Danio rerio: one gene and its partners. The protein of the gene in region 1 purifies or fractionates together with the protein of each later gene. This does not show direct contact. Links are inferred from orthologs where the notes say so. Each region holds a gene or a part of one and is shown in the gene's direction. Other genes may lie near its edges.

Region 1 (3,520 bases):
TTCCCTTCAGGGTTTAGCTCCAACCTCCCTCAACACTCTTGCCTGGATGTTTCAAGTATACCTAGTAAGACCTTGATTAGCTTATTCAGGTGTGTTTGATTAGGGTTGGAGCTAAAATCCACAGGACACCAGCCCTCAATTCCTGGAGGGCCGCAGCTCTGCACAGTTTTGCTCCAACCCTAATCAAACACAGCTGATCCAAATAACTGAGGTGTTCAAAGGAGTCATGAACACCTTCAGTGGTTGGATCAGCTGTGTTTGACCAAGGTTGCAGCAAAACTGCAGAGCTGCAGCCCTCCTGGAATTGAGTTTGAGACCTATGGCTTTAAGGTATAGTTCACTTAATGTATTTTTTGGGTTCACGTAATTTGCAATACTAAACATAATTTGGGCGCTGTTTACTATCCCTCAACTGATGATGAAACTGAGTTTCTTCTGTTGAAAACAAAAGAAGATATTTTGAAGAATGCTGAAAACCCCTAACATCCATAGTAAGAAAAAATGGAAGTTACAGGTACGGCATTTATTAAATGTAAAATGTTAAATACTTATTTATGTAATATTTATTTATTACTTATTGTATCTTGTTTCAAATGAAATTATTACTTTAGTCATTATTGCTTTAATTACTATTACCAGTAATTATAGTAACAATAATTATTATTATTAGAGTGATTTCTGAAGGATCATGTGACTCTGAAGACTGGAGTATTTCATCTTTAAAATCACTGGAATAAATATTTTAATTAAATGATAAACTACTTTTAAACAGTAATTTCTTTAGTGCAATAACATTTCACAATTCTACCATACGCACTGTATTTTTAATTAAATAAATGCAGCCTTGGTGAGCAGGAGAAGCTAATTTTAAAACATTTAAAAATCAACAAACTTGTCGGCACTAATGGCGTAGTGGTTAGTGCGTCGACACATGCACTCCGGTGCTCACGGCGACCTGAGTATGATTCCTGCCTCAAGGTCTTTTGCCAATTCTTCGCCTCTCTCTGCTCTCCACGCTTTCCTCTTGATACGCTCAATTCAAGGTGAAAAAAAAAAATCCCCAAACTGTTGAGCGATAGTGTATATTAGTAGCAAGCAAAAGATGTCGAAATATGATGATTCATTAAAGTGATTCAGAGCAGACACTTTCTGTTGAGAGGCTTTATTTTTATTTATCATGCACTTCTTTTATTAACAACTGTGTAGACAGTTTACATGCATACAAAAAATACGATATTTTTTTAAAGCTGCTCAATGATATAACTCTTTTGTTTGCCCAGAAATCCCTGAATGAGCAGAGAGGCTGCCTGCTGAAGTTCTCTGGTGAATTGGGTCAGACCTCAAGGGAGGATTTTCACTCCGTCTTCTCTGATCACGCTCAAATCAAGTGGATTGATTTCACCAGAGGAGCTAAAGAGGTGAGGACTGAGAGTCAGTGGTTATTCAGTCTGGACAACATCATTTTAAATGTCTTGCTGTAGTAATCTAATATTTAAATGATTTTGAAATAAGATTCATATAGATTTTAGGGGTGTAACGATACACTGGAGTCAGGGTTTGGTATGTGCTTTGGGGTCATGGTTCAGTACAGTACAGCAGGAATAAGCAACAGTTCTCCAGTGCTTGCTTTTTATATTGAACAGGCAGACTTGTTTTGTCACAATCAGCTACAGAACTAAAAAGCTTCTTGTGATTTTAAAAGTACATAATAAACACAATAATAAAAAATAAAGCCTTATTATTAGGGAACTCTGTATTAAACCTACAAAGATTTTGCTCAGTCCTTTCCTAAAACAGAAATTGTAAGAAAAAACTGTCTTAAATTTAAGACCTTTTTAGCACCTTTAGTTCAACCACAAGTTGTCAATCCCCCATACTGCACCTGTAAAGTTGTCTTCCGTCCATTACTTTGCTCAGGGCACCATCCTGTTCCACTCCAACGCTAAAGAGGCTCTCCAGAAAGTCCGAGAGGCTCTCAACGGGGAGGATCCCAAGGTGAAGGAGCAGGCCGTTCAGTGGGAGATTCTGGAGGGAGACGTGGAGATGGAAACACTGAAGAAAATCATCGAGGATCAGCAGGAGTCAATAAACAAACGCAAAGGAGGCCGAGGTAAATCACAGGACATCATGAAGACACATGCCACGGTCTAAACCCACTGTTTACCACATTTACACTGTGATTGCAGGAGGGTTCAGGGGTCGAGGAAGAGGACGAGGAGGCCGCAGAGACCGAGGAGGACGAGAACACACTCAGTTCAAGGGAAAGAAGACCAAGTTTGATAGCGATGAAGAGGGAGATGAAGGTAAAAGGGACACTCTGGTTTACTTTTTTTCTTCTTCTTGATTGATTTTCTTGTTTGTCCCGCTTAATACTATGGGTTATTCGAGGACAACAAACACAATGTAAAAAATACACTTCACTGAACATGCGTTACTATTACATGTAAATATTATATCTTTTGGAACGACCCCGTGTAACTGCAGGAAACTGCTTATATATTGCCAACCCCTTAACTTCTCTGATTTTAGCTAATGTAGTGTGCAACTTTTGTGAAGCTTTGGAATGATAATTATTGTGAAAGTGCTATACAAGTATAAAAGATTTTCAGTAAAATGCGCATATATGGGTAAAATTCACACTTTTTCCAGTGTTTATTTTTAGAAGGTCATGATTCACACTCATTAAACAATTATCCAACAATTAAAATCCCTTATAATAATAATAAAAATAATAATAATTTCTTACATTTATATAGCGCTTTTCTGGCCACTCAAAGCGCTTTACACAATCGGGGAATCTCCTCATCCCACACCAGCTGATTGGTGGAGAGGAGACACAGTGATGAAGCCAATTATGATATGGGGATGGTTAGGAGGCCATGATGGACAGAGACCAGTGGGCGAATTTGGGATTTTAACGTTTTAACGACCACAGAGAGTCGGGACGTCGGTTTAACGTCTCATCTGAAGGACGGCGCTCACTGAGCAGTATAGCGTCCACGTCACTATACTGGGGCATTAGGACCCACAGAGACCACAGGACGGGTGCCCCCTGCTGGTTTCACTAATGCCATTTCCGGCAGCAACCTAGCTTTCCCATGTGGTCTCCCATCCAGAAGCTGACGGGACACAGCCCTGCTTAGCTTCAGTGGGCGACCATGTGAGTTGCAAAGAGCTAGCTGCTGGCCTCTTCTCTCCACTCTCTTAAGGCTGATTTATACTTTAGCGTCGAGTGATCAGTGTGGCCCACGGTGCCTACCTTGCATGCAAACTTGCATTTATACTTCTGTGCGCTGTTTGTGTTGCTCTCAGGGCCGGAGCAAGCTGAACTGCTGCTCTAGGCAGAGGACGATCACGCCACCCTTAACCCCAATGTGAAAACGAAAGTGACCGGTTATAAAAATGAAGTGAGGTGTCGCGGACCTCTATTGTGCCGCCCTATGCGCGGATATAACTGAGGACGCGCGGGTGCTGAGGGAGGTGTCGTGGACGCCGCCCTATGCGCGGATATAACTGAGGA
Region 2 (3,520 bases), on another chromosome or scaffold:
TTATTTATACAACAGTTCTGTCTGGTTCTCGAATTTGAGTGGCTGATAGCAGTGAGATATTCTGCAATATCAGAACTCCTACAGCCTCCTTACCAAACCGTATTACTCCACCCAAATAGACTGACAGCAGATCATTACTCAGAACTCATTACAGTTTGACAAATATTGCAGTTATTGGACAACATAATGTACTTTTAATGCTGTGTTCACACCAGACGCGGAACGCGCGGATAAATCGCGCTACTTGCGCGTAAATAGCTGCGTGAACATTTGAGTTTACTCGCTTCATACGTGCGTCAAACCCCACTTCATTCGCGTGTCAAATTCACATCAGAACAGATACGGATTCGCGTGATGGGCAGGGCTTCTGTCTGCCCGAAAACTCTAGCTTCATAGCTAAATGGCTAACATGGATTTTATGAAGAAAATAACAGTGTTTATGTGCTTTATGAAGACTGAAAAACAGCGTTGATACTTTTAGGGTTGTGTCTGAGTCCACTACATTCTTTCAGAGGTGCATTCAGCTCTGTGAGCTCATAAACTCTTCCAGAAACTTAACCTAGATGACGGAGGCTTTCAGCGGTGCTTCTAACTTAGCCAAGCCGAGTTTGATGAACTGTTGTCGGTGAAGGCTGGAGGATTTCCCTCGGAACACCGACAACAGGTTCTACGTCACAATCACGCCCCCACAAGAGCAAGCTTCTGATTGGTTTACGCGGCGCGAATGTACGCTGAAGTTCAGATTTTCGAAATCGAGAGATTTGCGCGAAACGCTCGTTTTTCGCGCGCAATTTGCGTCATTCGCGCCGCGCTATTCGCGCATATCGCGCCGCAGGATGTCTATTCGCGCTTTTGCATTGACTTAACATGTAAATCACTCGCGCTTGACACGCGTGCCGCATCTGGTGTGAACGCAGCATAAGGCTTTTTAGGGCGAGAATGTAGTTGTTTTGATTGAAACAATGCAGTTTATTCATAAGGAAAGTTTGAATATGCAGTTTATTTACTTTAAATATTTATAGTTTTGGAGATACAGCGCCATCAACAATATGGTGACACAGACCGCATAATCAGCCCTTAAAGGAGGGAAAACCCAGCGTAATTTTAAACTACAGCTGATTAAAAAAGTGACTTTCTAAGTTGATCTCACTCTATTTTGTATGTTCCAGTGTTGTCTATACCAGGGATGGGCAAACTCGGTCCTGGAGGGCCGGTGTCCTGCACAGTTCAACTCCAACTCTAATCAAACACACCTGCTTATAGATTTCTAGTGATCTTGAAGACACTTTTTGGCATGTTCAGGTGTTTTTGATTAGAGTTGGAGCTAAACTATGCAGGACACCGGCCCTCCAGGACCGAGTTTGCCCACCCCTGGTCTATACCATAGCAGTCTTAGGGTGTTGAGTGTGAGATAGGACTCAAATATTAGGAATGTATGTATTCTGTGTTACACTCTTTATCTAACCCTGAGTTACTTTTTGGTTGATCATCTGTTTCTTATGAGTTACTGCAGACTGGTTCAGTAAACAGAAAGAAAGAAGAAATCCATGTGTGTGTTTAGGATTTTTCCTTATCGCAAACAACAGTAATCTGGTAGTGTTTGCACTGTTCTAACTTTTTTGAGGTTAATTATTTTGATCTCCCAATTGCAACAGAGAAATACTGGGAAATCTCTGTAGAGATTTCATGCCGCTCAGCCTCATAATCTTGAAATGTGAGTAAAATCACTTGTAGTTTCTTATACAAAAGAGTTTTTAGACTCTCCGTGTTTTTATATATATATATATATATATATATATATATATATATATATATATATATATATATATATATATAAAAGAAATGTGCTGAAAAAAATCTCTGTTCAACACAAATTGGGGGGAAAAATAGCCCCCCAATAATTCAGGGGGGCTAATAATGTGTGTGCGTGTGTGTGTGTTTATGTATGTATATATATATATATATATATATATATTCATTCATTTTCTTGTCGGCTTAGTCCCTTTATTAATCCGGGGTCGCCACAGCAGAATGCACCGCCAACTTATCCAGCAAGTTTTACGCAGCGGATGCCCTTCCAGCCACAACCCATCTCTGGGAAACATCCACACACACTCATACACTACGGACAATTTAGCCTACCCAATTCACCTGTACCGCATGTCTTTGGACTGTGGGGAAAACCGGAGCACCCGGAGGAAACCCACGCGAAGGCATGGAGAACATGCAAACTCCACACAGAAACACCAACTGAGCCGGGGTTTGAACCAGCGACCTTCTTGCTGTGAGGCGACAGCACTACCTACTGTGCCACTGCCTCGCCCCCTATATACATACATACAAACATATACATAACATTTTTACATTTTTTAAGAAGAGAGACAATCACAAATGTATGTAAACGCTGGTACTATTTTGATAAATGGTTAAAAGACAAAACGTTTTCTTGCATCAACGTCTAAATAAATAAGCAGAATTTCTTTTGTTTAACGTTTCGTTATGTTTAACATTTTTTTTTACCATAATTCACAGAAGATACCCACTAAAATTGCATTAATGGTAGCAATTGTTCATGTTGACAAACCTTTTGTCAGGTGTTACTTTTACTTTTATTAATTATAATTTTCTCAAATTGTTAAAATATGTGATAATTTAATGTTCAATTATACTTTTATTTTAGTAAGTACATGGCAAAATAAATGTTTGAATAATAAAACATTATTTCACCCATATTTTTAAATTTTCACAAAAAGTTTTGAAATATTAATGCTATGTTATGCTTTATGCTTTCTATGTATATAAATTCAATCTCCTATGTAAATTGTATTAAATTCAAATGCCAAAATTCTATATGTAATAATTTATTTTTAATTTGCTTAGTACAAAATTTAATTGAATAATTTTGTATTTTCTTATATTATATTATATTATATTATATTATATTATATTATATTATATTATATTATATTATATTATATTATATTATATTATATTATATTATATATATTTTTAAGTAATACTAAGCAATGCGACTTTCATATATGTTGCATTTATTATTAAATACTTTTTACTGTCACAATATAAATAAAATAAATGTGCCAACTAAAACTGTTCTAGCACTTATCACAATTTATAAATAATCATATCAAAGTTTTAAAGTCAGAACTTTCTATATTTGTAAAGCACAAATACTCTATGTAAAAAAATAAAAATAAAATTTTTAATTGTTGTGTCAGAAATCACAGATTAAAATTAAGTATGTGTTCTTGTTCTACACAGACATTGCTCTCGTTTGCAAATACATCACGAAAGGATGGAAAGGGGTTGAGGAAGCATATGCTGAGAAAGACAAATCTGAGGATCTGCAGAAGGTTTTTGCGTATCTGGAAGCTGTTGAAAAAGTCAAACACTCCACTGATGAACAGGAGCTCATTCATCTGATTGAGGAGCAGAGACTGGGGAAAGAGCAGCTTCTCACCAACCATCTCAAGTCCAAAGAGGTTTTGCCACACTTGACTAA
Region 3 (2,193 bases), on another chromosome or scaffold:
TTATGTATTTTACATTGTGTATTATTTATTGCTGTTAATGACTTAATTATTAGGACATTTTTATAATTATAGAAAAGTGTTATTTATAAAATGTGTTTTTTTGCCATGACATAGCCATAGAAGCGGAAATGGCAATAAAATTAAAACTCTCTCTCTCTTTTACACTGTACCGAATCATCTCGCGGGCCAGATTAAACGTGTTTGCGGGCCTGATCCGGCCCGCGGACCACATGTTTGACACCCCTAATTTAGGACCATGATCTATTCACACTGCAAATCTCATATTGACCACATTTACAAGAGCAGTGTAAACAGCCATGCAAAAAATCAGATCTGAGAAAAAAAATCAGATTTGAGCACTAAGCATTGCAGTGTAAACCTAGCCTTAGACACACACACACACACACACAAACACACATAAGCTAATGAGTGTTTATCTATCTGCCCCTTTTTCAAATATCAGGAAGGAGTGGTTGGACCTGAAGCAAGAGTATCTCACACTGCAGAAGCGCTGCATGGCCCATCTGAAGCAGTCAGTTTTTCAGATCAATCAAAAGCCAACAAACTATCACATCGTGAAGCTTAAAGAGGATGACACGAATGCTTGTGAGTATATTTTGCTTGTGAGGACATTTTGGCTGTGATAAGCTTTTGCTATTTATTTCCCTGATTATTTTTTTCTTAAAGTTTATAAAGATACACCTAAGAAAGAGCTCACTTCTGGTCCTGAGTTTTTAAGTGGTGTCATTGTCAAGATTAGCTATAACCAACCTCTGCCGAGCAAGAGGTGCATCAAGGTATGGTAATTTTGTAGTTTATTTGGTGATACTTTTTGTCATACTTTTTATCTTATATACATTAAATAAGTAATTTGTCTTTTTCATACATGCAGGATATGCTATCTGAGCTGTCCCCTGTGGCTTATGTGGACCTTCTTGATGGAGATACAGAGGGTCATGTTCGCTTTAAAAGTTCTGAAGATGCACAGAAAGTCATTAAAGCACGATTTGAATTTCAGAAAAAATACAACTGGAACCTTGAACTCCTTTCTGGTTGGTAGGATTTTTTGAATGCTGTTTTTTAGCTGTTTTTTGTCAATGCAGAATATTATCTAAATCATGTATTAATTAATAAAAAGGTGACCATGAAAGAAGGTACTGGCAGAAGATTTTGGTGGACAGACAAGCAAAGCTGAACACTCCTAGAGAAAAAAAGCGTGGAACAGAAAAGGTAACATAAATACTCAACATACTTTTAACAGTAAAAAGACAACAACAAACTAAAACAATTTAAATTTACAATACTGTCTGTCTGTGTGTGTGTGTGTGTGTGTGTGTGTGTGTGTGTGTGTGTGTGTGTGTGTGTGTGTGTGTGTGTGTGTGTGTGTGTGTGTGTAATGTATGCTTTTCATAGCTCATTTCTAAAGCTGAGAAAATCATCATTGCTAAGGCCAAGGAAGCAAGCAATCACATCCGCTTTGATGATTAACTGGGTGACAAAATGTAAAAGGTCGTTTGAAATGATCTGATTTAATCTGTACATTTGTTTGCATTTTTTATATATACTGTAACAATCTTTAATTGAGTCATTGATGTTATCATTATTATTATTTTATTCTTTACAAGTTTCATTATTCCTATTTGATTGGTTTTGAATAAAAGTTTTTTAAGCAGTTGACAGAGCTGTCTCTCTCTTTCTCTCTCTCTCGTGCGTATGTGTGTGCGTCTGTGGAGTGAGTGAAGCGTGACTGTGAGAGCGACTGTGTTTTTCCCAACTTTCACGGATAGTTTATTGCTTAATTTACTTTGGAAAATTGTGTTGAAGTTAATATAATTATTTTAGTTTCTTTTTGGCCATTATGGCCGGGGTGAAGGAAAGTGGAGGGTTAGAGCAACGGCGGCATGGAATCAAAGTGCCGGTTGGAGTTGATTGTTCTGTGGAAGAATGTAGCCTTGCGGCCGGACAAATAGTTGGATATGAAAGCATAAGATCTGCTTCCAGAATGTTTTTTTTTTGGATTCCAAAGATAAGGTGAACAAGGTTGTAGAACAAGGCATTTTAGTGAAAGCACATACAATGAGTTTTCCTCTTATAAATCTGGTGAGGAGGTAATGTTGTTAAATATTCCGCCTTTCATAAAAGATGACGTTTGAGAACGAGAACTGTTGCGATATAGACAAATTGTCTCAACAA
Region 4 (2,899 bases), on another chromosome or scaffold:
CTAAATCTGTGGTCTTTGGGGATTTTATATTAGAGCAGTAAATGGTTCTGGGTTTTCTAGAATAAAAATAAAAGCATACAAAAGAGTCAATCAATATCTCTGTGCAAGTGTGACTAGTCTTTATGATTTGATTTGTCATTTTTGATCTTGATTTATGAAAGTGCAAAGGCACTCATTCAAACAAGTGATGCAGTTTTTGTATTTTGATGACTGACTAGAGTCGCACATGCACCAAGAACTGTTTTTAGCTTTCTACAGTGCGGTCAAACACTGTAAAGGTTCAGTTTCAGTAAATGAAAACGGTATTTGTTTTTGTGTGAACCCTTTTTTTTTTTTTTTTTTTTAAATCTCACAAATCAAACCTCATTATGTCCATCCTGCACAGTCGAGCTTAGGAAGAATAAAGCTAAACCATAATACTGCAAGATACACCGAATAAGTGCAAGTCTGGAGCATTTTGCTTTTTAAATGTTTTACTAATTAACCGCACCCTTTTTTTTTGTGTGTGAGAAATGAATTAAAAGTTACCTCATATGTTGCTTTTAGTATTAGGAAATTGCAATGGTAAACTGCATTCTTTCTAATGCTTTGAACATTTGGCATGAACATTTCTTCGAATGATCTTTCAAATTATTAGTTAAACTAACTTCTATTGCTCTTTAAATAGACTTCCCGTTGTGAAAGACTGTGTATTTAGTATCATGAACTAATAATGTATTTATGGACACAACTAAAAATCCAGAACTGTTCTTGTAACATTACTCCACTTAAAGTTAACATCTATATTTTCATTTAACAAGCACATACTTTAACTAATAAACTAAACATTCATTAATGTATTTACAAACATGTACAGGATCCTGTTTTGTAAAGTGTTACTATAAAACCAATAGCTGTCCCATCCCGTTTGTGCTCTTACATTTGGTTAGAACTGTAAAGTAGTTTGAGCATCAGTGTTTCCCAACCATAGTCCCGGAGGACCACCAGCACTGCATGTTTTGGAAATCTCCTTTGTCTGTCAAACCCATTTCAGGTCTTTCAGTTTTTAATAATGAGCTGATGATCTAAATCAGGTGTGTTTGGTTACGGAGACATGAAAAATGTGCAGAGCTGGTGGTCCTCCAGGATTGTGGTTAAGAAACACACTGCCTTAGAAACTGATACTGGGAATCTGATGGACACTTCATCATCTGTGTTCCAGCAGGGGTCCCTCACGTCCCCGGCCAGTGCGGGACGGAGAGGAGGATAAGGAGAACCAGAGCGAGAGCGGACAGAACCAGGAGCCCCGTCAGCGCCGCTACCGTCGCAACTTCAACTACCGCCGCAGACGCCCCCAGACAACCAAGCCTCAGGACGGCAAGGACAGCAAGGCAGCCGACGCATCAGCCGACAAATCAGCCGCTCCCGAAGCCGAACAGGGCGGAGCAGATTAAACCGCCACCGGCTTAAACATCCAGACCATCCGGCCGGGTGGGTGACGCCGTTTCATTTCAGCTAGTACTGCATGTACTTTAACATACTTGATCTTCAAGTGTGTTGCAATTTGTACAGTAGCATTCTTTTGTTTCGTTTTTTCTATAATTGTTTTTGTTGACAGAGTCTCATGAAAGATCTGAAAGGCACATTTTGCTTAATAAATGTTTTGTTGTTGCCTAAAGGAAATAAAGAATATTTGAAGCAGAATGATGTTTGGTGTTATTTCATGACAATTAAGCAGAAGTTCTTGTGGAAAATGTTTTAAATACAACCTTAGCCAAGCGGATTGTAAAATGTGCAGTCATTTTCATGTGATTTGTGCTTAAATGTCATGAAAGTTGTGCTGGTGGACTGATTTAATGCCTTATTAGCTCCTTTTAGACGTAACTCTAGATAATGGATGATGTTTTAGCTTTAGCTCGCACTTTTCATTGATGGAAGGTTGGATGATGGAATGGATTTGATTTAGCAGACTGTCTGCTTTGTCCTTTCACACACATTTTAGTGCTTGTAACTGATGAGTTGCTTCAAGCATACTGACTTAGTGTTTTGTGTGTGTGTTTGCTTTCACAGTTTTGTCAAGAAGAAACATCCAACATCTGAGCAATAAGAAACAGATATGACTTCGATCGTCTAAGCTTGCAAAAATGCATTTCGACCAGATTACCACCGATTGCCTGCAGACTCTATGCAGACTTTTTTTTTTGTTTGTTTTGTTTTTCCATTATTTTTGTGACAGCTAAAACTTTTGGGGAAACAGCAGATGTTTTTCTAAATCGGTCTTAAGTTTTTACACCAAATGGTTTTTAAATGTAATTTGATATCTGGTCAGTTTGACATTTTTAAATAACTTTTTATGTATCCAAACATGAATTTTAACAAAAGGCAAGCTGAAATAAAAACCAGAAACATTAATCTCGTACGAGTGGTGTTTGTTAACAGTTCCTGATTCACACTAGTCTAAAAATCATCTCTACAAACAGTGTCCTGCGGCTGGGGTTCGGTTCACACGTTGGTCTCTTTGCGGAGTCTCTCCATACGCTGGATGTTGTTCTCCATGGCGGTGCGGTTGGTGATCTGAGTGGCACAACTAGCAGGAAACCAGCCTCTCTCCCCATCTCTCATGCGCTCTCCATAACACCAACCTACAACAGTCATACAACAAACATTTGAATCTTCAGTCCAAAGCATTGTGGGAGTTTCTGTGGGAACACTGAGTCACAGGATGTCATCATATCCTATTTGTTACCGTGACACACTAAAGTGGTATTTGCAGGGTGGGGGTAGTGCTACATGAAGCTTTGAATTATTTACAAATCTTTTGTTTGGATGGGCATATCAAATTAACACCTTTTTAGTTTTGATAATTCTGTGGCTTTTAGCTTGTGGTGATCTGAGGAGTACCATAAAATTAGCATGATTC

Evidence for each region.
Region 2: the proteins of ssb (region 1) and ro60 purify together in Homo sapiens (affinity purification with mass spectrometry; 3 studies listed by BioGRID and IntAct, with this or other methods). This does not show direct contact. The link is inferred for Danio rerio from reciprocal best matches to the Homo sapiens genes SSB and RO60.
Region 3: the proteins of ssb (region 1) and larp7 purify together in Homo sapiens (affinity purification with mass spectrometry; 4 studies listed by BioGRID and IntAct, with this or other methods). This does not show direct contact. The link is inferred for Danio rerio from reciprocal best matches to the Homo sapiens genes SSB and LARP7.
Region 4: the proteins of ssb (region 1) and ybx1 purify together in Homo sapiens (affinity purification with mass spectrometry; 3 studies listed by BioGRID and IntAct, with this or other methods). This does not show direct contact. The link is inferred for Danio rerio from reciprocal best matches to the Homo sapiens genes SSB and YBX1.

What each region holds. Positions count from the first base shown.
Region 1 is NC_133181.1:4,437,457-4,440,976, forward strand, and holds part of ssb (lupus La protein), read left to right. Parts: intron 1-1,280; coding exon 1,281-1,418; intron 1,419-1,917; coding exon 1,918-2,110; intron 2,111-2,186; coding exon 2,187-2,303; intron 2,304-3,520. UniProt on the Homo sapiens protein: Binds to the 3' poly(U) terminus of nascent RNA polymerase III transcripts, protecting them from exonuclease digestion and facilitating their folding and maturation.
Region 2 is NC_133177.1:12,355,540-12,359,059, forward strand, and holds part of ro60 (RNA-binding protein RO60), read left to right. Parts: intron 1-3,279; coding exon 3,280-3,500; intron 3,501-3,520. UniProt on the Homo sapiens protein: RNA-binding protein that binds to misfolded non-coding RNAs, pre-5S rRNA, and several small cytoplasmic RNA molecules known as Y RNAs.
Region 3 is NC_133182.1:62,349,415-62,351,607, reverse strand, and holds the end of larp7 (la-related protein 7), read left to right. Parts: intron 1-463; coding exon 464-606; intron 607-687; coding exon 688-797; intron 798-892; coding exon 893-1,052; intron 1,053-1,138; coding exon 1,139-1,230; intron 1,231-1,413; coding exon 1,414-1,488; 3' UTR 1,489-1,677; downstream 1,678-2,193. UniProt on the Homo sapiens protein: RNA-binding protein that specifically binds distinct small nuclear RNA (snRNAs) and regulates their processing and function.
Region 4 is NC_133183.1:56,871,299-56,874,197, reverse strand, and holds the end of ybx1 (Y-box-binding protein 1), read left to right. Parts: intron 1-1,201; coding exon of another isoform or gene 1,202-1,204; coding exon 1,205-1,433; 3' UTR 1,434-1,470; intron 1,471-2,049; 3' UTR 2,050-2,391; downstream 2,392-2,899. UniProt on the Homo sapiens protein: DNA- and RNA-binding protein involved in various processes, such as translational repression, RNA stabilization, mRNA splicing, DNA repair and transcription regulation.